Arabidopsis thaliana: one gene and its partners. The protein of the gene in region 2 interacts with the protein of the main gene of each other region in a pairwise test. Each region holds a gene or a part of one and is shown on either strand. Other genes may lie near its edges.

Region 1 (8,427 bases), about 22 Mb from region 2:
TTCGAAACAAATCCCTTTAAGATTTTCCAGCACCAGAAAGCTTTAAACTTGTAAACTTTGTAGATACATAAAGAGCTCAAGGAAAAGATTTACATGATTCATGTCTAAGATAACATTCTCGTGAATGCACAAACATATGAAGATGAAATGAATCAAATTTGAAAGGAACACAATTGTCCTGCATATGTCCCATTTATCGTACAAACTCACAAACCCTAAATCAATAATGCTAGATGATGCGGTTTAAGCCCAGGATCTAAAAATGAATGTCAACAAGGGTTTAATACCATTAGTGATGATGGCGCTGGTTTGTGGAGGAACCTTGAACTCTTCTGCTGCGAATTTCAGAACCGCCGTGAACGGAGCTCCTTCTGGTACGCTGAAACTGATCGGAGAAAAAAAACAACTTAGAGACCAATCACAGGCGTAAATCGAAAAAACAAGAGTCAGGATTCGCATACACTTTGAAAGGAAGCTTAGGATCCGAAGTCAGAGTGACTTTGAAGGAGACTTTTCCACCAGTGGCCATTTTTTCCGACGGGGGAGGAGATTCAGATTAGCACGGCGGATAATGGCGTTTCAATGACGCATTCACCAAGAGGGTTAAGAGAATGTGAAACCAGAGATAATACCAACGTAAAGTTAAATTTCACTTCAGGCCCATTTTAGGCCCATTTTTAATATATTACGCTTTCTTACAATTCAGCCACGGAAATGATCTTTTTCTTAAAATGTATCTTCATCTTTCTTTTTACTCTCAAATCAACCTTACATTTGCTCTGAAATTTAAAATTATTTACACATGAAAACTTAGAAAAATATTTACAGTCAATGAGAAATTTTCCTCGACAATAAAAAACAAACAAACTTATTTATCTAATAAATAGTCATGAAATTAGCTAAACACAACAAGAGACAACATCAACACAAGCCACAATAATCTCCCAATCATCTTCTTAAACCCACCAGAACCATCGCTGCATACTAACTTGTTGTCATGGTACGTGCACACCGGCTTCTTCCTACACACAATTCAAAAACAAAGACCAAAAAATATAACTTTATTTCTGCATTTGAATTACTTTTACTTTTGCATATGAAATTAACAAAGGATGAATAAAGTATATCATGTAAATGTAAAAGTCATGGTCTAGTATGAATGAAACTTGATTAGAATCATAATTAAAGTAATCATGAGATGTTGTTAAAAACGTAAAAAGGACAAACCTGGAGGAACAGAAAGAAATGACGTAATCAGAGGCAGTGCAAGTCATAATACTGGTCGGATCATCATAAGCATAACTATAAGCAGTAGGACAAGCTTGTTTAAAGATCTTTGAGTAATAAGTTGGTTGACACACAACTGGGTTCCCATAAACTCCTCTACAACAATACTCATCTCTATCAAACACATCACAAGCACTCCTACACGATATGACTTTCCCGTTTGATTTCACTGCGAGCTCCTGCGGACAATGTGGCCTCAAATCAGCTACGCAACCGGCGACGCTGCAGTTTCCTTTTCCGTTCATCGGAGTCACCGACATCGGGAGATTGAATCCGTCGACGAGGCTCACGTCGTAGAAATCCAATGCGGCTAATGTGAATTCAGCTAGTGAAGCTGGTGGTTTTCCGGAGGCTGAACATTTTAGAGTTGATCCGCATGAACCGGTTTCGCATGTTCCGGTTCCGGTTGAGTCGAATTTACAACCGGTTCGTCCCCAAATTCTGCCTGACCAGCCTACTGGTGCGTGGAATACGATGGATTGGCCCGGTTTGAGCTCGAATCCTCCTCCGTTGAAGTTTTCTCCTGGAGTTATCGCCGGCCAGATCGTTTGGTCACATGAGTTTATGATCGTGAATACTCGAGCTGATTCTGACCATTTTGTTCCTGTGGAGTAATTCACAGGAGTTCTAATCGTTATCCAAACCCTAATTAATTAATACCTAGACAAGGAAAGACGTTTAATTACGATCGAAAATACTATAATGTTTGAATTATTTTACCTGATAATATGGTGAGAAAGAGTAACAAGATCCTTGGTGACAAACCGAAACGAATTGGCATCTTTACTAGAAAATATTTTAGGATCAAATGTAATGTTATTTTCTGATCTTGAAGTGAGACTGGCTTTTTAAGGGAGGAAGAAAGAATAACTTGCATGGAGAGTCTATCGGTACAATTATAATAATCGGTTGTAGTACTATATGTGTTTTCAAATAATTAAGGTTCCTTGTTTTGGAATATGGGAAAGAGTTAGTTAGTGTTATTCGTTTCCTGATGTTTCATGCAAGTATTCTTTGGGATGCTGTTAAGGTAATCAAAGTCCAAATGGCCAAGGATCTATACTGTATGTGGCTTTTTATCTGTCTATTTGTATCTTCTATTATTGAATTTGGATAATCTTGTTGATATTGATTATTTTAGCCTTCATGTCATGGGTCAATTCATCTACCTACTGATATATTAGGCCTAATTAATGAATCATATGGCCCATTTATGTCGAACTCAATCTCAATTGTTCGGTCCATTCTTATATTCTGCTTTTTGAATATTACACCATTAATAAATTTGTATAGTCATGATCCTTTTTTTGGTTAAACAGATTTTCTGACGAAGATAAATTGATGAAAATCAAAACAAATCTCACAATCTTTGTCGTTATGGGAACCATCTGTAACCATCCAGTAGAATCGAGTTCCTGGTTTCAAGATGTCAAATTATTTAACTACAATGACTCGCCATTTTTTCAGTATTATTACCAATGATATCTGAATATCTGCTCTATTTAGGGACGACAATATTATATCTTTTGGAGATATCTCAATAGCCTAAATAAGGTTGAATCACAAAAAAAAAAAAAAAAAAAAAAACATTTGAAAATGCATATTTTAATGTCAATTGGCGATGAGTCTTCTTTCCGCTGCCATCCATTTTGGCCGGGTTAAAAAGCTATAAAGATCTAAAATGATGATACCTTCTCATTAATAATTCGATCCATTGTAAAAGTATGGGGCTAAAAAGGAGACATTTCTAAGAAATTAGTGAGTTAAATAAAGCTTAGACAGCTAGACACGTGTGGTAATTATGTTTACCACTAATCCCACCTGATTAGCAATCATTCTTTCCATTGGATCCATCTCCAATCCTCGATTACCTCACAAATCACTATTTCTTCCTCTCTTTTAACCAAGTTTTTCTACTTCTAAATCAAGCGTTTGGATGTGCGATGCCATATGGTAGACAAAGGCATAAATTTATGTAATTTCGAGTTCCAGGTAACAGCTATGTAATATAATCGGACAAAACATAAAAACTTAGAAATATAATTGATTATTCTACATAAAGATCGTTATCATCCTCATCACAAGAAGGAGGAAAGGACCAATATGTTTTATTCATTGTTTCTAGTTGTTACAATCATCATGATTCAAATAATTGTTAATGATAATAATAGTTTAGCCTTTCTTTCAAAAAAAAAAAACATCATTGTCATCACTTCTATTTTCAATTTACAATTAGTCTACTCTCACTACTTTAAACTTTAAAATCTATAATTAGCTAACCCTCTTTTTTTGCATATTATCGGGGTCAATATATAATTAACAATCTCAAACCGGGCCTACCCGTTCGTGTAATGCTCCAGAAATATGGCCCATAAGCCCAACAATCAAATCAAGCCCATTAAAAAAACAACGCCACGCTCGCCGAAAACAGTAACAGTCACAAGTAGGTGACATAACTCAGTCACCAACCAATCATAAACCGATATCCCCATGACAACTCGTGAGCTGTGACTAAAGACTTCGTCCCCCGACACTCGTTACTCAATAATTGCACACAGAGCAAAAGAAAGGAAACAAAACCCATAAAACAAATAAATAAATGAAAAAGCTTTTCACTAGTCTATTTAAAGAGTGGAAGTAAAGAAGCTAAAGAAACTGAGAGAAGAAGAGAAAAATGGCGGCAGAGAAAATAGAGACAGTGGTCGCAGGGAATTACTTAGAAATGGAGAGGGAAGAAGAAAACATAAGTGGTAACAAGAAATCTTCAACTAAAACAAAACTCTCTAATTTCTTCTGGCATGGTGGTTCTGTCTACGATGCTTGGTTTAGTTGTGCTTCAAATCAGGTATGTACTTCCCACAGATTTAGTCTTATATATAGATGTGTATGTATCGTCTTCTATAGCTAAATTGTTATAAAAATGGCAGGTGGCACAAGTTCTGTTGACATTACCATACTCGTTCTCACAACTTGGGATGATGTCGGGAATTTTGTTTCAACTCTTTTATGGATTAATGGGAAGTTGGACTGCTTATCTCATTAGTGTTCTTTACGTTGAATATCGAACTCGTAAAGAACGAGAAAAATTCGATTTCCGTAACCACGTTATTCAGGTTTTATTCCACCTCTAATTCTTGTGACTCGTTATAATTTTTTATTTTTTTGGTGGTATTATTGAATTTTAACTTTTTGTTTTTTTTTGTTTGTGTAAAAAAGTGGTTTGAGGTGTTAGATGGATTGTTGGGGAAACATTGGAGGAACCTTGGATTGATCTTTAACTGCACTTTTCTTCTCTTTGGATCTGTTATTCAGCTCATTGCTTGTGCTAGGTAAATTAATAATCAATGTTCATTTTCTTTATTATATGGTTTTTTCATATTGAAAATTAATTAATATAAAAAATGATTTGCAGCAATATATATTATATTAATGACAAATTGGACAAGAGGACATGGACATACATATTTGGGGCGTGCTGTGCAACAACTGTTTTTATTCCTTCCTTCCACAATTATAGAATTTGGTCATTCCTCGGACTCGCTATGACCACTTACACTTCTTGGTATCTCACCATTGCTTCACTCCTTCATGGCCAGGTCATTATAATTAACACAAATCTTGTTTTGATTATTATAAGATATAGACATATAGTCCTGGTTATTGTTGTTTAATATATTTATTTTTCATATAAAAAAGGCTGAGGATGTGAAACACTCTGGTCCAACCACAATGGTGCTTTACTTCACCGGAGCCACCAACATTCTCTACACCTTTGGTGGCCACGCCGTCACAGTGTAAGTATTTTTTTTTTGTTTGGAAAAATAAAATGGCTTAATTAATGGCTTAACTAATTATGTATTGGAAATTTGAAAAAATATAATAGGGAGATAATGCACGCTATGTGGAAACCGCAAAAGTTCAAGGCGATATATCTACTAGCGACCATATATGTACTAACGCTAACGCTACCATCCGCGTCTGCGGTTTATTGGGCGTTTGGCGATAAGCTACTAACTCATTCCAATGCGCTCTCTCTTCTCCCTAAGACTGGTTTTAGAGATACCGCAGTGATCCTCATGCTCATTCATCAATTTATAACGTTCGGATTCGCGTCTACACCGTTATATTTTGTGTGGGAGAAATTGATAGGTGTGCATGAGACGAAGAGCATGTTCAAAAGAGCCATGGCTAGATTACCCGTGGTTGTACCCATATGGTTCTTAGCCATTATCTTCCCCTTTTTCGGACCAATCAATTCCGCGGTCGGATCTCTCTTAGTTAGCTTCACTGTCTACATCATCCCCGCATTGGCTCATATGCTTACCTTTGCTCCTGCTCCTTCAAGAGAGGTTAGATTTCCAACTTCCAAAATATCTATTTTAAAATTATAATTGTTTCATAAAAAGCTTGTTACAATTTTAGTATAAGTTTACAAAGAATAATTGGAAATAGTATATTATTAGTTTATATTAAAATTATTATATAGTATCATAGATTATGTAAAAATAGCTAAAATAATATTTTGGTATATCTAATTTTTGTTAAGTTTGATATATCGTAAATAGAATGCGGTGGAGAGGCCACCGAGAGTGGTAGGAGGATGGATGGGGACTTACTGCATAAACATATTTGTGGTGGTTTGGGTATTCGTAGTTGGGTTCGGGTTTGGAGGATGGGCAAGTATGGTCAACTTTGTTCGCCAGATCGACACTTTTGGTCTCTTTACCAAATGCTACCAATGCCCTCCTCACAAGCCATGATATACAAATTTGCCATTCAAGACCTTCTAGAAAGAGAGTTTCATATAAGGGGGTTTTGATTTCGAGATCTAATATATATAAGTTACTACATCCAATTTTTTTTTAGTATTTATTAAAAATCACATCTCTTTGTAATTGTTTGACGACAATAATCTTTTACCTCGGGTTTGTTTAATTTGTTATGTTGAGTTATTTTTGGTAAATTGGGTTTTTTTTGTTCCTTAGTTAAGGTGTGATGGCTATCTTAGGCCAACCCTATTATTATTTAGTGTTCTTCTATAGCTCAAGAAAGTTTCATGTGTGTTTTGTGTTTAATGATCTCGTTATTCTCTTTTACTGAGATTTAATTTCATCGTCATTTGAAGTGCACTGAGTTTTTGATGAAAATTGACTATAAATTCTGCGATCAGTCCAAATGAAATGATATGGAAATACATGATTTAAAATCATACAACCTCGTGCATCTATACTCTATAGTAAAATAAATTTATGTGGGTAAGATTATGAGAGTTTTATTTTAGAATACATTAGATTATCTTTGAAGCAATCAAATATTGATCTAAATTAACTTTTTTTCTTCTGAATGTGAGTGATCCCGATCTGAATCCATCATGGGCAAATTAGCATCACATCACAAAAAGGGAAATGAAAGGCGTATCTTTATAAAAGAAGCAAAAGGCAATGGCAGGCTCTGTGTCAGTGTTGTTAGTACATAATTAGGCAGACTTTTTACACCAATTGATTCAATGGTTGGTGCTTGGTAAAGTCAAATAACTGATCAATCACATATGATTATTCGTTTAGTTAGATCATTTTTAAATAAAACCAAAATTGGTTACAAATTTTGATAGATGTATCACAAACAAAACAAAAATAAAGATGAAATAGTAATTCATCGCGATATCATCATTGAATAAAAACAATCAGAGAAGTAAACATATATTAGAAAAAAAACTTAAAGATGCAATAGTCATAGAAAACTCTAAAAGATCATTTAAATGAAACTAGTACTTAATACACTGCTCTTGTTAGTTCATGATTTGAACTAGTTTTCATATGACGTAATTAAGGAACAAGGTAGACAACAACAACAACATAAGCGATATATCGATATAGCTCGTAATAATTAAGTTGGAACAAACTCACTATCATAGTACCATGTCTACCCGAAAACTGACATTTGGGTTGAGTTTGCGAGATGGTTACATTTGACTAACAACTTCATATTATTATTAGGTACTATCGAAAATGAAACCTTTTTGGGGGTCAAAATCCAAAAAAAATGAAAATCAGTTTTTAAAAAAGCATTTAAACTCATAAAAATATTTCATTTATTGCCGGAACAACTAGACTTATTACCAAAAAAAACTGATTCCGACGACGGGACACTAAATAATTCAATAGGCATAAGTTGTGATAGATATATAAATAGAAATTCATGATTCAGAGTGTCAAAAGTTAATATTCTAACAAACCTTTTAAGCGCTTTTATGGATTTGCCAATCTAGTAAACTGCTTTTTGACTAGCTTTCTAACTTCCATGCTCCAATCAATCTCATGGGAAGTTGGGTCATCACTATTCTGCCATTTTCTTTACCTACTAAAGATATAGACAAAATAATACAAAAACAATATGGCCAAAATGAACTAATACAAAAACGTTATCATAATCTATCCTTGAATATATATTTAACCTAATTTGCTTGTGCTCTGTGAGATATTACAAAAGAAGAAGTTAAGTAGGAAAAGGACGAATTTGGGGATAATTTTGGAAAAAAATAATTAAACGTATGGTCTAATATTCCTTTGATTCAAAGCGTTATGAAAAAATAAATATGTAAATACTATTTACTTTACATTTAATCATTATTATAAAAAAAACAAATACGTGACTACTGTTTTATTGGCGGATACTGTATCCTACATGCATATATTTCTATAAATATGAATATACTGTATGTAGATAAGGTCCTATTGACATTTTGCTTGTGAATTGCTATCGACATACATATAGCTAAGCCTAGTTTACAAAAAAATAAATAAATAAAAAATACATATAGCTAAGCCTAATTAAGTACTTAGTTCTTAACAAAAAAAGGCACTAAGCACGTATAGTTTATGACTTTTTTTTGGAACATAAAATTCCAAACCAATATTGGGATACAATTAAATAAGATTAATATAAGAGTTGTATACTTAGTAGTTAGTACGAACATGTATTATTTATTCAAATCATGATATTAAAAATCCGACAAGATCAAACTTTAAATCAGCATAGATCATGCTAAAATAGATTTTACAATAAGTTCAAAAAAAGAGAGGAAGAGGCTTCGATCAGTATATAAAAAAGTTGCAAGAAAACGACAAGACACAAAAAATC
Region 2 (8,427 bases):
TTCTACTTCTTCTCAAAACTTGTTCTTCTGGTTTCTTGTTTGGATCTCCGCCGTCATTAGAGTCGCCGGAAATTTCAGAGATATTAGCCATCGTCGTCTGTGAAGTCAGCAGCGAGAAATAATGAAAACAGAGCCTGATTTGGTTTCTGGAAAAACTCGTGTATTTATAGCCATAATGAAAACAGAGCCTGATATAGTGTTTTAACTTTACAATGTGGGCTTTCAAGCCGAAGAGTATGGATCCTTATTAAAGCCCAAATTTGGTTACTTAAATTAGCCTCTATAAGTCCACTAATTGTCTAATACACACTGCATTTTAAATTCGATTATTATTCTCAATAAAAATTATTAAATCAATTAGAACACTACTCCCAACAATAAAAGAGAAAATAAAAAATAATTGATCCAAAGTTTTTAATGTATAATCGTGTTAACGATCATAGATAGATTTATGCCAAGATAAATGTGACATGTACAATCGTGTTGCATGTACTCGTTAAATGGTGAAAATCGTGTTACTTATTGATATTAAAACCGATAAAAGTATCAGACCAACTAAGCAAAGTGGGGACAATGGAAGAGAATGCTTGTGTCGGGATCCGGAAACGGCTACACAGAGATGTAAGCACTAACACGTGAGAGATGAGAAAGAGACAAAAGACCCAGAACAGTGAAAATATACGAATCTGCATTGTTGGGTCAACAGAATATTATTATATGTTGAACGATGAATCAGAGCCTATGAATCATAACCCCAATAAGACGTGTTTGGTGTGATATCTACTGGCCTTTCTTGTCGTTGCCTCTATCGACCATAGATTTATCTCGATTTAGAAGTTCTTTAAAAAAATAAAACCTCGTGTATGTAACTTGTGTGATTTTGGGATCTCAATTATGCCGACGTTATTAACAACTAAGAAGATTAACAACTAACAGGTTACATACGTATCATATTTAAAAAATTACTTAAATGTTTCCCAATTCATTCATCTGTAAATAACACTCTGTTTTTCTTTTTTTTTAAAAATATATCTTCAATGAATTTTAGAAAAAAGAGAGAATGACTTTTGTGGAGATTTTTTTTTTTTTTTCCAATACATATATTTTATTCACCAATACAACATCAAATGTCATCTAAATTTATGTTTTAAAACATAATGTTATTGGTAAACATTGAAAATGTCATCTAAACTTATGTTTTAAAACATAACTAGATCATAACTCGTGCTATACAGCACGAACATTAATATTTTGTATAAATTAAATTGTATACTTTATTATGTTTGCTATGTTTGTCAAAATTATTTGTTATATTTGTCAAACTTTAGTAAAATATATTTAAATATAATTAAATTTATTAAAATTTAATAAATTTAAAAGTTTTTGTTGTTTGGAGACGCATTATCTACATACAAAATACCTGTTTCTATTTTTTGAGTATTTTTAGGGCCTGAAACTTTTTATCCAAACTGACCTAAACCCAAATGGACGCGATCCGAACCGAATATTTAGAATTATTCTATTAGGTAGTAAATCATATACCCATTAATCCCAAATCCGAACGGGTTATACCCGAACTCGAATGGGTTACTCATATGCCTAGCCCTATTCTCTGATTTAATTATCTAAAAAATCCCAATAAAACATATGTTTTGGTGACTACTTTTTATTCAAAAAAATTTACATCTTCTTCTGCCAAAATCATTTCATAAGACATCCCAAAACCCTTGGAATAATGATTCCATGAATGAAGAATCCTAATTTGAATATACCAAGAGGTTTTGAAAGGTTTTAAGTTTTTGATAGGTGTGTATGTGAGATGGTACATCCATCGTGATGGTAATCGGCTTATTTATAATTTTAACTTGCATTATACAGCAGGTAGTCTTATATTTTAGTTAAACTAAAAACTTTTATTGTAAAGTTGATTATAAATATATGATATTATTTTATTTGATTTTAAATGTATAGTAAACTGCGAGTTGTATATGTTTTGTTGATATTATTTATATTGTTTAGTGTTTAAAATTATATACTTGTATTTTGATTGTTAATTTTAAAGTTTCACATATAGTATATCATCTTGTATTAATATTGATTTAAACCCGTCAATTGTAGGATTTTTCAGCTTGTATTAAAAATTGAATCACATCATACACATTAAAAAATCTAATATGTTATTAATTATTGTAGTATATAAGATTATAAATTTTAAAATAATATGTATGAAATTGAATATAAATATTCAAACTATGACACAGTACTCAGTAAAAAAATTTCTTAAATCTACTTTTGACCCGTTATAGTATTTTTTCATGTATTGAACAGTTTATATTCGTTTTTAAAAATTCAAATTGTGGCATATGCGAAAAAATTCTAATTATTTTTTTATAACGATGATATTATTTTTTTGCAAAAATAGAATCATATAAAGATGAGAGGTGAACTATAATAATTAATAAAAAATTAATATGATAATTTAGATATCAAATCTAATTTGTTGATTTTAATTGGTTACTTTTTTGGAAATTAATAATGTATTTCGTTTTTGAGTTAAATTTAATTAATTAAATTAGTATTTGACTTTTAATTTTTAAAGAAATAAATTAATTTACTCTTTAAAATCTTATTTCTAATGACATACCTATGTAATTACTTACAAAAAAATAAAGTTATATTTAAAATGTATTTCCTAAATAATATAGTAGGATGTTATTGGTAAACATTGAAATAACATGTCGTATTCTCAAAGATTTTAAATATTGAAAATAAATAAATAATGTTGTATCTGAATAAATATTTATATTTATTGAAGTATTCGAAATTAATGACATCCATATATTTTTCATATACTAGAAAACAAAAACTATAATTATTCGAGTTTATCTAATAAAATAATGTCACTTGCATATTTGTGACCTATCGACATCAATATCAACGAGGTAGCGAAAATGCTAAAAAGTAGAGGAGGATTCGAGCATTATATTCATATTTAAGTGTTACTTTAATAATCTTATTATTTGTCCTAAATTGAAGTTTTAGCTAAATTTTCTCCCACAATATTGTTATTCTGATTTTGTTAAGAGTTAGGACAACATCTAAATATGAATTCTATAATGCATGCTAACTATTATTATAAGTGCTAAAATATAAAATGACATTGTCACTTTTTGTTGTCAAAAGGAATGTCTAGTGGCCTCGTATTCTAATATGGGAAGTTTTAATTATTATTCCTACCAAAAAATATCTTTGAAGTAGACAGTTTACCTAAACAAAAAGAAAAACATTTTCTTAAAAATACAATATAGTTTAGTCTCAGCCTGTACCACAATTTTATAGTATTGTTGCGTAATTAGTTACATTGTAAAAGCTCATTATAATACTAATGAGTATGTAGAAGTATGTAGAAGAAAATAAATGATTCAAAGCGACTACAAATGCTTGTATATGTGAGCGAACATGGGACAATGATTCAAAAAATTATCTTTGCGCAAAAAATAACTCGAAAACGACAATCAGACAAAAAAAAACAATAGTTAAATTTGATATAAAAGAATTTAAAATGAACGATATCTTATTTAATTACAAATTAAAATGTTTTTAAATTAAGTTTTTTTTTGTCGACAGAGAAGAAAAAAAACAGGTCCCTTTACGAATTCTATAAATCGATGTTAGGCGACGCGTTCTGAGGTGGAAAACTATGAAACAGTCTGCGTCTCTCCACGCAAAGGCTCAATTTTTACAAACCATGAAGAATTCTTAAGCAAAACAAGTCTAACATCTTTTTGAATTCACCCAAAACTCAAATCCTACCTCAAATTTCGTATTTTTCTTCTTCTGCATTTTCTAGTTTAGGATCGACATTTTTATCCTCCGAAAGATTCGTGCTTTTTTCTCTCTGTAGATTACGATTGTTTTGTAGATTTAAGAAAAACAAAAAGATGAGTTTTAGGGATGATAATACGGAAGAGGGAAGAAATGATCTTCGGCGACCGTTCTTACACACAGGAAGTTGGTATCGGATGGGTTCGAGACAATCTAGTATGTTGGAATCGTCTCAAGTTATTCGAGACAGCTCAATTTCTGTCTTAGCTTGTGTTTTGATTGTTGCTCTTGGTCCTATTCAATTCGGATTCACTGTAAGAACAACATAAACAAATATCTCAACTTTCTTATATTTTTTTTTATCAATGTGGATTTCTCTGCTTTTGCTCAAATTGACTAAGAAAGTGTTGATTTTGATTTATCTTTTTGTTTTCAGTGTGGTTATTCCTCACCAACTCAAGCTGCCATTACTAAGGATCTTGGTTTAACTGTATCAGAGGTATGAAGGTCCCATCTTTATTTAAGAACTGTTCTGTTTTTTTTTTTTTTTTTTGTAAAGACTCTTGTTCTGTAATTTTCTGACTTTTAGGTTTCTTGTTTGATGTTTTAGTACTCTGTGTTTGGGTCTCTATCCAATGTGGGTGCTATGGTTGGAGCAATTGCGAGTGGTCAGATTGCTGAATACGTTGGACGGAAAGGGGTATAATAGTTTTGTTTCTTGATTCTAAAACATGTTCTCATCTGTGACAATTTGTCATGTAACATCTTCTTTCTTGTTGTATCTTATTTACTGTGTTTTTCTTTCCTTTTGACAGTCTCTGATGATTGCTGCAATTCCCAATATTATTGGATGGCTTTCGATATCATTTGCAAAAGTGAGTGTTTTGGTGTTCTCAAAGTTTCTGATATTCTTGGCTTATCTCTATACCTACTAAGTTGTTGTTGTTCTTGGTTTTTGTTTAGGATACTTCTTTTCTTTACATGGGAAGATTGTTAGAAGGCTTCGGAGTTGGGATTATCTCCTATACGGTAATATTAGATTCAACTATTTCTTTGATTTCAGCAATGTTTGTTTGGAGTGATCAATATAATTACACACCTTTGAATTGCGATTTTAGGTTCCCGTATATATAGCTGAGATCGCTCCACAGACCATGAGAGGAGCCTTAGGTTCAGTTAACCAGGTTTGTCATGTTTAGTTAGCTTCACTATTTTTATGTTTCATTTTATGAGCTGATTCATATGTTAACACTAAACAATAAATGTTTTGTGTTTATAGCTTTCTGTAACAATTGGGATAATGCTGGCGTATTTACTCGGTCTCTTTGTTCCATGGAGAATTCTTGCAGTTTTGGGTAACTCACAAAACATTTTGACTTGACTTGGGAGAAACTATACCTGTTTTTATTTTATTTTGATCGATACAGTCTAATCACTTTCTTGTTTGTCTTCTTTATGTTTAGGAGTATTGCCATGTACATTGTTGATACCGGGTCTTTTTTTCATTCCTGAATCTCCTCGGTGGTTGGTATGCCTCTACAACCGTATTGCTTATATTGTTGAGTTTGTTGCATTATTGGTTATCCTAAATTGTTTTGGTGTTGTAATTGTAGGCAAAGATGGGTTTGACAGATGATTTCGAAACTTCATTGCAAGTTCTTCGTGGATTTGAGACTGATATTACCGTTGAGGTTAATGAAATCAAGGTAGTGACTAAACTGAAGAAATGCTTTGATGTGATTTCTTGTCTTATTTAAAATTTTCATTTTATGCACTCTGCAGAGATCTGTGGCATCATCTAGCAAACGTTCTGCAGTTCGGTTTGTAGACCTCAAGCGCAGGAGATACTATTTCCCACTGATGGTGCAATTTCTCTTACCTCTCTTGAACTAATTTTGTCAACACATGAGAGAAACTCACTCTTTTCCTGTAATCTGTGTTACAGGTTGGTATAGGGCTGCTTGCACTTCAACAACTTGGAGGAATCAATGGTGTCTTGTTCTATTCGAGTACAATTTTTGAATCTGCAGGTAGAGTCATATGTTTTTTTTGATTATTGGAATGGTCCTAAGATAGAATAAACAGATTTCTAACTATGCTTCTTTGTTTGCAATTATCATTCACTAAGGGGTGACATCAAGTAATGTGGCGACATTTGGAGTTGGCGTTGTTCAGGTATATCATTTCAATCTAGGAGACATTAGATTCGATTTTTCTAACCGTTGTTCATTCTATACCAGGTAGTGGCGACTGGGATAGCGACATGGTTGGTGGATAAAGCAGGTCGTCGGCTTCTACTCATGGTGAAGAATATTTGAGATTCATCTGTATATCTTACAAAGTCTGAAGAATTTATGTATGCATAACATAATATTAGCATTTTCTTCTGAAATGCAGATCTCTTCTATCGGAATGACGATAAGCCTCGTGATTGTAGCAGTTGCATTTTACCTTAAGGTAACATTTTAACTTTTGACATCTCTACTTGTACAATGTAAGAGTGTCACTCTAATTATGAGATATTGAGGTTTCTTAATCTTTTGTTAGGAATTTGTATCACCTGATTCCAACATGTACAACATTCTAAGCATGGTTTCCGTAGTTGGAGTTGTGGTAAGTCGTTTGTTTTATACATTCACACAACGAAAGATACTTTCTTATTTACATATTTCCCGGTATGTGTACTAAATCTGGCTGAGTTATTTACAGGCTATGGTTATTTCTTGCTCTCTAGGAATGGGACCAATTCCATGGCTGATTATGTCTGAGGTACTAAATATTAAAACATGGTGTTCCTTAGTGTTAAAATCACAACTGGAAATTTTAATACTGATTAATGTTGGTAAAACAGATTCTGCCAGTGAATATAAAGGGTTTAGCCGGAAGTATAGCAACTTTGTTAAACTGGTTCGTGTCATGGTTAGTGACAATGACTGCAAATATGCTGTTAGCATGGAGCAGTGGGGGAACTTTCACTCTCTACGCTTTGGTTTGTGGATTCACTGTGGTTTTTGTGAGTCTTTGGGTTCCTGAGACTAAAGGAAAAACGCTTGAAGAGATCCAAGCTTTGTTCAGATGATCAAAACAAGAAGAGGAAGAAGAAGACAAAATTTTCACTTTTTGCTTTCTCCATTACAGATCATTCTTTTGTCCCTTCCCTGTGTCTGTATTTCATGCTTTGTTCAATGTATTTCTTCTTGACATTGATTATAATTTGTTTATCTTGTACAAGCATATCATTATACCTTTAAATTTGATTTTTTGTTTTTGTGTGTAATTTTTCGGATTCTCAAGATTAATAGCACTATATTTGTGTATTCAACAATATCTTGAATTAAGTATAGAAAATCAGAAATGCAAATGTTAGTGTTTTGGATCCAAATGGGAAAGCTACCATGTGATAGAAACTGCTTTGGGAGTTTTGTTGTTTGGCGAACATGAAAGGACTATTTCCAATGCAAACGGCGGTCGATTTGAAAAAGAAAACAACAATATAATAACAATTTTAAAATCATTCTTTATATAACATTCTTGGCATGTCCCACTGTCCAATTTGACCATTCATTAAGAAATCAGAACCAAGTAAACAATACTAAGGTCATTTTCTTCCAAAAGTAATAAACTAGGAAAATATCTAGACAATTTACAGATAGTAACGAAATAATACGTTACAAGAACATGAAAATGGTTTTTGTAGTTACCGTTCCTTGTTTATATTCTCAAAGTAACGGATTCACATATTCACACCATTCAACACGAGTGAGTGTCAGTGAAAGGCAAAGTTGGACAAACGAAAGTTTTGGTTTCTGTAATTTAATTGGAGCAAACTTCAATAATAGTAAACAAACAACCTTTTGTTTAACAATGTCCCTAATTTTATTCTGTGATTTCGTCATTACACATCTAAGATCTGAAAACATGAGCTCAAGAACTGTAACTCAAATATCACAAACTCTCCAAAACACATAAACAACAAACACATTGACATTGTCAGAGATCAAATCTAAGGGTTTCTTCTCTAAGAAAAAAACAACCATGGATTAGTCTCGAAGTTACACAATAACAGTTCCTCAAACGAAGCTAATAACTTAAAGTTACCGGATACTTGTCAATACAATCTTCCCAAGGACTGTTGTTCGAAGGTTTCACATGCCTTAATGCTTCCCAAATCGCGCTATTACATTTAAATCCACTTCCGAACGCGATTTGCCAAACACGATTACCTCTTCGCATCCTTCCCTTCGCTTCAATGTAAGCCAATTCATACCAAATGGAGCTCGAAGATGTGTTACCAAATCGATGAAGAGTCATCCTCGAAGCCTCGACATGAACTGGTGAAAGCTGCAGATTCTTCTCTAACTCATCGATCACAGCTCTTCCACCAGCATGGATACAGAAATGCTCGAAAGCAAGTTTGAAATCCGGGATATACGGTTTCACTTTACCGTTAAAGAGCTTCTTCACAACTAGAGTCATAAAGAAGAGAATCTGCTCACTTATCGGTAGAACAAGAGGACCCAATGTAGTGATATTGGTTTTGAGAGTTTCCCCTGCAATCGCCATTAGATCTTTCGACAACGAAACCCCGGTTCTCCCTGTATC
Region 3 (8,427 bases), on a different chromosome or scaffold from region 2:
TGTTTGACTATAACACGAAACTTATCGCTACTCTGTAGATCTTGAACCCTGACACGGTAAAGTTTAATCAGAGTATCAGTACAAACAATCTCCAAGCCATTATATAAAAACTAATGTAAACTAATTCCTAAAATTCCATAAAACCTAAATCACAAGCATTTTTGAAGTCTATGAATACGTAGTTAAACAAGTCCTGAGGAGTGGTTTCAAATATAAAAACCTAGCTCATGGACTCAAATATGAAAAATAACAACTTTCTTCTTCATTACCTCAATGCATTGGCTCTCCGAACACGACCACTCTTCTCGAGCTGTTCCTGCATTAGAGTCTTTGCCACAAGCGAATCTCTAAAATCATCATCTTCCTCGTTATCTTCTTCATGCTCTCTCTGTTTCGCCTCTTCGATTCTATTCAAAGTATCCTCCGCCAGTCTCTTTCGTTTCTCGCCTACCGTCTCATGAGCAAACTCATCCTCCACCTCCTCACCAACCTTCCCTTCCTCTTCAGATTCTACAGATTCGATATCATCATCATCATCGTAATTGAATTTTCTCCGCTTCTCTGTCTCTTCCTCTAAGAAAGGATCATGATCGATGGAACTCTTTTTCCCTCTTCTCTTCGCCCCAATACCTTTCTTCTTCTCGAGTTTCATTCTTCTCTCCCTCTCTATCACACACAAGCGAGCGAGAGAGAACGCAGGGTTTACTGGCGATGGAGAAAAAAATACAGAGTTTGTTTTCTTCTTTGTTCTGTCTTAAATAAGAAATCCACAAATTGCCCTAACTTTCCCCGCAAACAATACTAGGTTAATAGGTTTACTTCATGATGGGCCTAACCCACAAATTAATCAACTTACTCATAAACAAATTAAATGGAAAAAAGTATCTTGTGAATTCATAAATTAAAACGTTGGTAACTCGAATAAGTTGATTTTTGGTTTCAAATACGACATACTTTTGTCACACATCTATTTTACTTGAGAAGGATTAAACCAGACCTTAATTATCATGTTTGATGCAAATGTGAAGAAAATCTATTAACATATTGAAAATCTAAACAAACCAAAGACATTACAATTCTTGAGATCAGAACACTAATTAACCAAACGAAGAATCTGACAACTATTAATAAACCCGAATCCAAAGCCAAACACTTTAACAATATATTAAAACCAACTAGTGAGCTTAAGTTGCAGAACAAGAATTATCAGCAACAACACCACCTTCCTCAGCTTTCTGCAATGCCTGCTTCTCCTTCAACGTCGCCTTAGCTGTATCATACGTTGCGTGCAACCCAAACAAGACGTAATATATGAGCAGAATACCTGTCCAGATTGCAAACCTAACGAACGATTTTGTATCGATGGAACCAAGAAGGAAGATATTAATAGCGATGGAAGCAGAAGGCAACCACGGAACCAAAGGAACACCCCAAATTTTCGGAGCCCTAGCTTGCGGTACAAGAAACTTCATGGCAACCGTAGACAGAAACCATATAGGAACCGTAATGCAATACCCAATCCAACCTTCTTCTTCCAAAGCCCAATAAACAGCAGTCGCGGTAGAGGACGCAAGAATCAAACCTAAGAACACTAAAAACTTGTTACGGTCACGGGTCGATGTTTCTCCGGTGACGTAATATCTTCTAACGAGAAGAGCCACAGCAACGAACATGAAGATGAAAAGTGTGGAAACAGACAAGAGATCGGCTAAAATTTTCAGTTTTGTGAAGAATGCTATGAGAGCTGTCGCGGCAAGCATTACCACGGTCGCGTTAATTGGTGTTCCGGTCTTTGCGTTGACTTGAGCTAGCCATGGAGGCATCATATGGGCTCGGGCTATGTGTGTCATGTACCTAGCTTGACCAATGGCCCCAACTAACAAAACCGTCGTCATACCTAAACATTTCAAAGATTAGTATAGATTTTAGACTATACTAAATGTAAACGCAAACGCAAATAAATAATGAAGGCCAAAATCTTTGGCATACCTTTAAGAGCCCCAAAGGCGACAATGTACTTAGCCCAATCCCATCCAACGGCAGAAAACGCAACCGAGAATGGCGCGTCCGGATCAATCTGTTGATACGGCTGCATAAGACACAACGTAACCGCCATGAGACAATAACAAACCGTAGTAACCACCATCGATCCAACAAGACCAATAGGAATATCTCTCCCTGGATTCTTTGTCTCCTCAGCCATCGTTGAAACCGCATCAAATCCAATATAGGCAAAGAAAAGAACCGCGGCGGATTTAAACACTCCTCTAACGCCGTAAGGAGTGAAATCGCTGTAGTTTTTCACATCGGCTTTAGTAAATCCGGCGATGATAACAAAGAGAATCACGACCATGTGGATTATAGAAGCAATGTAATTGAATCTTGAGGAGCCTTTTGTGCCAACGACAGCTAAAACACAAATGATGGCGCAAACGCCGACGGCTATTGGATCTAAGTGGCTATAGTCTTCGCCGAGTTTGTGAACTATGATGCGGAAGTCTTCAGGTTTATGGTTTAAGAGAGTGGCGAAGTAAGAGGTCCACGATCGAGCCACGGCAGCTCCACCGACAACGTATTCGAGGATTATGTTTCCCGCGGCGATGAAGGCCATGAAGTCGCCGAGCTCCACTCTTAAGTAGGCAAAAGAACCGCCTAAACATTGACTCAATGGTTATGTAAATTAAATAGTAAATATGAAAGAAATTACATAATGTTTTTACAAATAATTGTGGGCGAAGTAATGTATGCGTTTGAGTTTCTATTTACGATAATATTCAATTTGAGTTCGAAACAACTTGGAAGTAAAAAATAATTTTGAAAATGACTCCACTTTCTACTTTCTAGGACCCAAACATAATCTCTAGTGGGATTTCACTACAAGTTATTTCGAAAATGAAAAATATATTTTTGAGTAGTAATACTATATTAAATTAATTTACTTTTGAACTGTCAATAAAGGCAATTTACAAGCTTGACTTATATAGTTGGGACTTACGTATATAAGGTCATTGACGTAAGTAATCATCTGTTTAGCTTAATTTCTTTGTCTGTATGTAAAAGTCTTCTAGGTAGACCCCATGACTAAAATTGTGAAATTACAAAGTTTTAAATACAATTTTAAAAGTAGCTAACAATCTAATAAATGGCAACAAATATTTTGCAACTCTAAGATAATAATCAAATCATTCGATTGTTTAATTTGTGATTTGATAGTATTGTAGCTACTATCAAATTTAAAAGGAAAAAAACGGAGGATAAATAGTAGATTGATACTAGATAGTGTGAACGACCCTCATAAGTCAGATGTCAACTAGTTGACCCCAGAGATTCCGTCACGCTACGAGAGTTGAAAATTCAATATTTGTTCTATAGTAATTTTTGTAATAAAGAAGCTGATCTTATTCATTTACACATTTTAAACCTAAATAGTTTTTTTTTTTTTGGTTTTAACCTAAATAATTTACAAGTAAGACAATAACTACATTTTTAATTAATGTTGAGTTTAGAAGTATTACTAAAAGCATATCGTATGGTTGACTCTTTGTACATCAACAGAATATTTTATTGGTCGTTGTATTGAGGTGAATTATGCAACTGATATATAAAAAAAGGACTCATAACCACTAGTGACTCCCAAAACATGGGACAAAAACTTAATCGACACCGAACCAAAAAAAGAAGGATTAAGTTGCCGGAAAAATGCACCAGCATAAATGATTGAATCAAGTAGAATATTTTCTTATTGACGAAGTTGTCAGAAATGATACGTCTGCATATTTATTAGATCTTGATAAATGTACGCTACATTTTTCTATTCCCTAATTATGATGACACTATAGTTAGAATATCGCTAGAAAAGATATCCTCAAATATGCGTTTCGTTTAAACATGTAAATCGTAATTAAAACTAAATTTAACCAGCTAAGAGACTCTTAGCCTGCTTAAACGTATTTTCCCTATCTTCCTACTTATGACACTAATCCTAAAAAATATAGTCTGAACATTTTCTTGAAATTCGCATATTTATGACCGACGTTACAAAAAAATAGGATCTGTTAAGATGCGTCTTTAGTTCAAAGATGTAAAAATGAAATTTTAAACTTGTAAATTTTAATATTTTTCAACTTTTTCAAATTAGAAATTCTCTAACAAGAAAATATAAATATAACATACCAAAAAAAAAACGAAAATATAAATATAAATGAGAAACAGAGGAAATGATAATTTTGTTACCTGCGACGGGAATCTCAACGGCGAACTCGGTGTAACAAAAGACGGAGAGCATGGCGGAGACACCAGAGACAACGTAAGACAACACGACGGCTGGACCGGAATGATTACGTGCTTCGAGTCCAGTGAGAACGAATATCCCAGAGCCGATGACTGCACCGATACCAAACCACATGAGATCCCACCACGTCAACGTCTTCTTCATCTCGTGACCACTACGAGCCTTCATCTCGTTAATCTCGTCGGAGTCTAGTGACCGAGTCATAATACGATCCATGAACCGACTCGGTGTTTCTTTAAGGGCTTTTAGGTAATTCCCCATGCTTTGGAACGATTCTTCCGGTAAGAAATCGTCTTTTGTGCATGAACAGCCTCGCCGACGAAGCCCATCGTCACCACCACCCGAAGCCATTTTTTTTGTTAGAAAATTATGTTGATCCAGATTCTGATTCAGATTCAGAATCTGAGATCGGTTTTATAAAGACTCTGTTTTTTTAGAGTGAATGGTAAGAAGAGAAACTGAAAAGTGAAAAACTCTTTAGTTTTTGTAAATTAATAACAGAATTTTGGGTTCCTAAAGTCTGCCTTACTTATAGTAGCTATCCTTTGACGTTTTTCTTGTATTTATTTCTTTCTATAAACAATTATTTATCGACGGTTTTGTGTAATTAGCTGGAAATGTGATACGGTAAATTAAATTATGGAAACCTTAAATAGAGTCCATGAGATTTTGTTCTTGTTGTATGGTCACTAGTTGGTCACCAGCTGCATTCTTTGACCATTTTTTCTAAGAAAAAGATGAAATCGAATTATAAATGTAAACAAAATCTGGTGTGCCATAAAAAGAAAAGATCATGTGTGATACGAATTTTTCCATCGGATCACGTCTTCTGGATAATTCAATAGTACTTTCTCATTTAAGTAAAATGTTATATCCGTTATACTCAAAATTATGATATATAAAGAAAAAGTTATATGTTCAGTTTCAAACTTGTATATGAAATTTATTGGTTTTAAACAAAACTCGACTTAGTTGATAATTGGGTTCTAATTCACACCAACCACTTACCACAATTGCTCCTCCTATTACAAGCGCGTCAAGAAAATGATTTAGCCTCCCCTAATTTTTCAAGTTTTTTTTTTAATGTTTACTTCCTCTAGTTTTGTATTAAACGATGTCCAAGAACTGTGATCCTATTTTTGGTTTCTTTTGTGCTTCCAATAAACCATGAAAAATGAACCCAAAAAAAAAAAGAACGATCATGGATTTTGGATCATGTATGTATGTTATGTGAGTTTAAAGAGAAGAAAGTCCATCGAGTTTCACAAAGCATCTAGAGCGAGCGTAATGGGCATCTCTTCTCGTTTTGGACCTTGGTGGACATCTTGTTTAGAACATACATCATACATGCATTACACGATAAGATTAGAAATAAATAATACTAATCCATATGACCAAGACGAAGAATCTTGTTCCACATGGAAACATAGGGGCAGGTCAACTGTAGTGAGAACCAATACAATTTTGAAGTCAAAACAATTTCCTTGGATCAAGCAATCAAGTTTCGTCTAGATAAATACAAGAATTAATAATTATTTCTGCTTCAATAATATCTTGTTCTATCACCGGTTGACCAAAACATAACTCACGGCGTCATGATAAACTTGCTGCAAATCTCACGAATTTAGAGAAATTGACACTTTTGGGAATAGTAAAACACTCTTTTAATTCAGTAAGATACCAAACCGGGAAACGTCTTTCTACTTTCAAGTTTCAACTATATACCAAACCGGAACGTTCTTTTTATTTGCAATACCACCCAGAGTTGATAAGTAAGAGCAAGGAGATTTTTAGTCAGGGTTTTTAGCCTTTATGGAATAATACATAATCCAGATTTAACAAGTGACAAGATTGTAACAAACAGTCAGAGATAGCGAATAAAGCTATGTTGAATTTAATCGCCACTCGCGCATCCTTGACAGCCGCAGTGAACGCATTCGACCACTTTCTCTTCACGCAAGTGTTTGGGAACACGGCATACACATGTTGTTCCATAGTTGTGGTCTCTTGGCTGTATGCAGCGCAAGCAGCATAAACGTTCGTATCCCGACTGCAAAACACAAAACAGAGAGTTTTTAGAGTTACTTAACACAAAGTATAGAGACACGTATAAATGACAAAATCTTAGTTCAATGAAAGAAAACAAAAGTGAAATCTAGGTATATGTCTGGATAGTATAACCTACAAAGAGAAGATGCAACAGAATTGACAGGGAGGAGTTTGTTAATAAACGATTCATGAGTGACCATCATTAAGATGTGGGAGTATGGTTAGAAGTTAGAACTATCCAAAATTTGGCAAATCGTGGAGGCAATGCACTTTGTTCGAAGTATAATTACCAGAAATCTTATTTCTTCACCAAACAAAGCAACAATACCAATTCTAGAACCTATTCGTTAGTGAGATCATTCCAAGTAAGTGCATATGCTAAGGACATATATTTCAGAGAAACAGCTTCAAGACTCATTGTGCAGTAAGGCGATACTAGACTCTCTAAACTAATACAACAATATTTTACATAATAGAAACTCCAAATCGCTTCAATTTGGCCTTAGACAACTAACTAAAAAGGCATACAAACAGAAGTTAATTCAAGAATGATATAAAAACATACCTTTTTCCATTTGGCAATCAGACTGCGATCTGCATAGCCCTGGTCCAAGCAGAATTCATAGAGCTCTTTAGATATTTCTTCCCTTCGGTAATAAAGGTCATATACATACCGACTCCTCTGATGAGAAACTTTGAAGATTGGCCATAAAGTTTCACACTTTCTCTTACCATCATGTGAATCAGTCTCAGCTGCACAAGGAACACGATAGTTAGAGCAAAATCACGGGAAAAAGAAACAAGCAAAAGCATATGTTATTGAGATATAACAAAATCTTTATATGAAACTAACCTTCTCTCATCTTGGCATCAAGCTCTCGAAGAGTAGGCTCGATCAACTCCCATCCTTCTGGGTACTTGACTCGGTTAGTTTTAACCTTTGGCATTTTCTACACAACGCAAATTCACAACGTTAAACAAAGGAACAAATTAAGCAAAATGGGATACTTTCACCAAAACGAGAGATTCTAAGACTTTCATAGTTCCAAAGAGATTCTCAATTAAGCAATTGAAACAACAAGCAAGGACGCTTCCGGAAAATTAGGGTTTCTGCGTCAAGGCTACATCCAATACAACGCAGAGGGTTGATCCAAACATAAATCCAGAACAGTCTAGATAAAGTTTCAGTAATAGAAGGTGAACAATTAGGGTTTATCAATCTCTGTGTTTTGGGATAGAAGGGGAAAATTTAGGGTTAAGAACCGAAACAAAAGGAGGGTGCCGAAGCAAGATTGGTATGAGACAGAAATTGAAGAAGCTTACCTTTGGACAGGACGAGGGAAGTTGGAGAAGGAGAGATCGCGGCGCAGGACAAAGGAAGAAGAACCAACGTCGTCGAAGAAGCCTCTTTAGGGTTGTGTTCGGAAATCGGTATAACGAGTGGTTTATCTTGGGCCGCTCTTACGAATAAAAATATTCTTTTACTGTTATCTTTAAATTGGATAAGACATTTTAAAAAAATTACATAAAAGTTTTTCTGATGACGAAGTTTAGCACAATTTTCAGGAATCCTGTAGTGATTTTGTATTTCCATTTTGAATAGAAGACGGATGCTTACAAACTACAAAGTTTAGTAGAACGTGGAAGTAACAAAACCTATAGGATTCAACTTGGCATAAATGCAAATAGAAAATCCCCAAAATATTGGAACTTTATAACATCAAACATCTTTAGCTTTCGACATTGTCTGCAACTAAGCAATTATTTGGCAAGACGGAATAAACAGCTTCAAGAAAAAGACCAGTGCAACCTTAGTCTGCTACTGCATATGGGCAGTGACTGATACATTGAGAAACCAAAAGCATATAAAAAAGAAGGAAAAATCAAGAAGCTGCTTATTCCTTTTTGCCGATTCCATTCGACATGTTGTAGATTCCTGTTCCCTGTATTTAGCCAAACGTTTCTTCCATAGTTAGATGATGAACAAAGTTAAAGAAAGCTGAAGCAATATTGATGTAAGTAACAAGTTCTAAAGGGTGACATTCAACTTCAAACCATTGTGAACAGACACAATCAGCAAGGAAATG

The links.
Region 1: the proteins of AT1G19450 (region 2) and LAX3 interact in a protein complementation assay, tested with the Arabidopsis thaliana proteins (one large-scale study listed by BioGRID).
Region 3: the proteins of AT1G19450 (region 2) and AAT1 interact in a protein complementation assay, tested with the Arabidopsis thaliana proteins (one large-scale study listed by BioGRID).

Annotation. Positions count from the first base shown.
Region 1 is NC_003070.9:29,198,852-29,207,278, reverse strand, and holds LAX3 (uncharacterized protein), read left to right. Parts: upstream 1-3,860; 5' UTR 3,861-3,961; coding exon 3,962-4,132; intron 4,133-4,214; coding exon 4,215-4,400; intron 4,401-4,503; coding exon 4,504-4,616; intron 4,617-4,699; coding exon 4,700-4,883; intron 4,884-4,983; coding exon 4,984-5,081; intron 5,082-5,170; coding exon 5,171-5,636; intron 5,637-5,852; coding exon 5,853-6,047; 3' UTR 6,048-6,862; downstream 6,863-8,427. Other genes in the region: CCP2 (ubiquitin-fold modifier), read right to left, coding at 288-385, 462-529; AT1G77700 (Pathogenesis-related thaumatin superfamily protein), read right to left, coding at 1,062-1,932, 2,008-2,131, 2,457-2,532. UniProt on the Arabidopsis thaliana protein: Carrier protein involved in proton-driven auxin influx.
Region 2 is NC_003070.9:6,730,148-6,738,574, reverse strand, and holds AT1G19450 (Major facilitator superfamily protein), read left to right. Parts: upstream 1-3,550; 5' UTR 3,551-3,941; coding exon 3,942-4,139; intron 4,140-4,261; coding exon 4,262-4,324; intron 4,325-4,435; coding exon 4,436-4,525; intron 4,526-4,640; coding exon 4,641-4,700; intron 4,701-4,788; coding exon 4,789-4,854; intron 4,855-4,943; coding exon 4,944-5,009; intron 5,010-5,104; coding exon 5,105-5,180; intron 5,181-5,288; coding exon 5,289-5,353; intron 5,354-5,438; coding exon 5,439-5,531; intron 5,532-5,607; coding exon 5,608-5,688; intron 5,689-5,770; coding exon 5,771-5,855; intron 5,856-5,953; coding exon 5,954-6,000; intron 6,001-6,065; coding exon 6,066-6,128; intron 6,129-6,222; coding exon 6,223-6,282; intron 6,283-6,372; coding exon 6,373-6,438; intron 6,439-6,534; coding exon 6,535-6,594; intron 6,595-6,676; coding exon 6,677-6,904; 3' UTR 6,905-7,164; downstream 7,165-8,427. Other genes in the region: AT1G19460 (Galactose oxidase/kelch repeat superfamily protein), read right to left, coding at 1-91; KCS4 (3-ketoacyl-CoA synthase 4), read right to left, coding at 7,906-8,427.
Region 3 is NC_003075.7:11,266,533-11,274,959, reverse strand, and holds AAT1 (amino acid transporter 1), read right to left. Parts: upstream 4,976-8,427; 5' UTR 4,643-4,975; coding exon 4,234-4,642; exon of another isoform or gene 2,996-4,233; intron 2,653-2,995; coding exon 1,990-2,652; intron 1,898-1,989; coding exon 1,185-1,897; 3' UTR 961-1,184; downstream 1-960. Other genes in the region: EMB2271 (Transducin/WD40 repeat-like superfamily protein), read right to left, coding at 1-48, 270-652; AT4G21110 (G10 family protein), read right to left, coding at 6,186-6,341, 6,906-7,093, 7,194-7,287; AT4G21105 (cytochrome-c oxidase/ electron carrier), read right to left, coding at 8,236-8,283. UniProt on the Arabidopsis thaliana protein: High-affinity permease involved in the transport of the cationic amino acids (e.g. arginine, lysine, histidine, citrulline, valine, and glutamate). Transport mostly basic amino acids, and, to a lower extent neutral and acidic amino acids.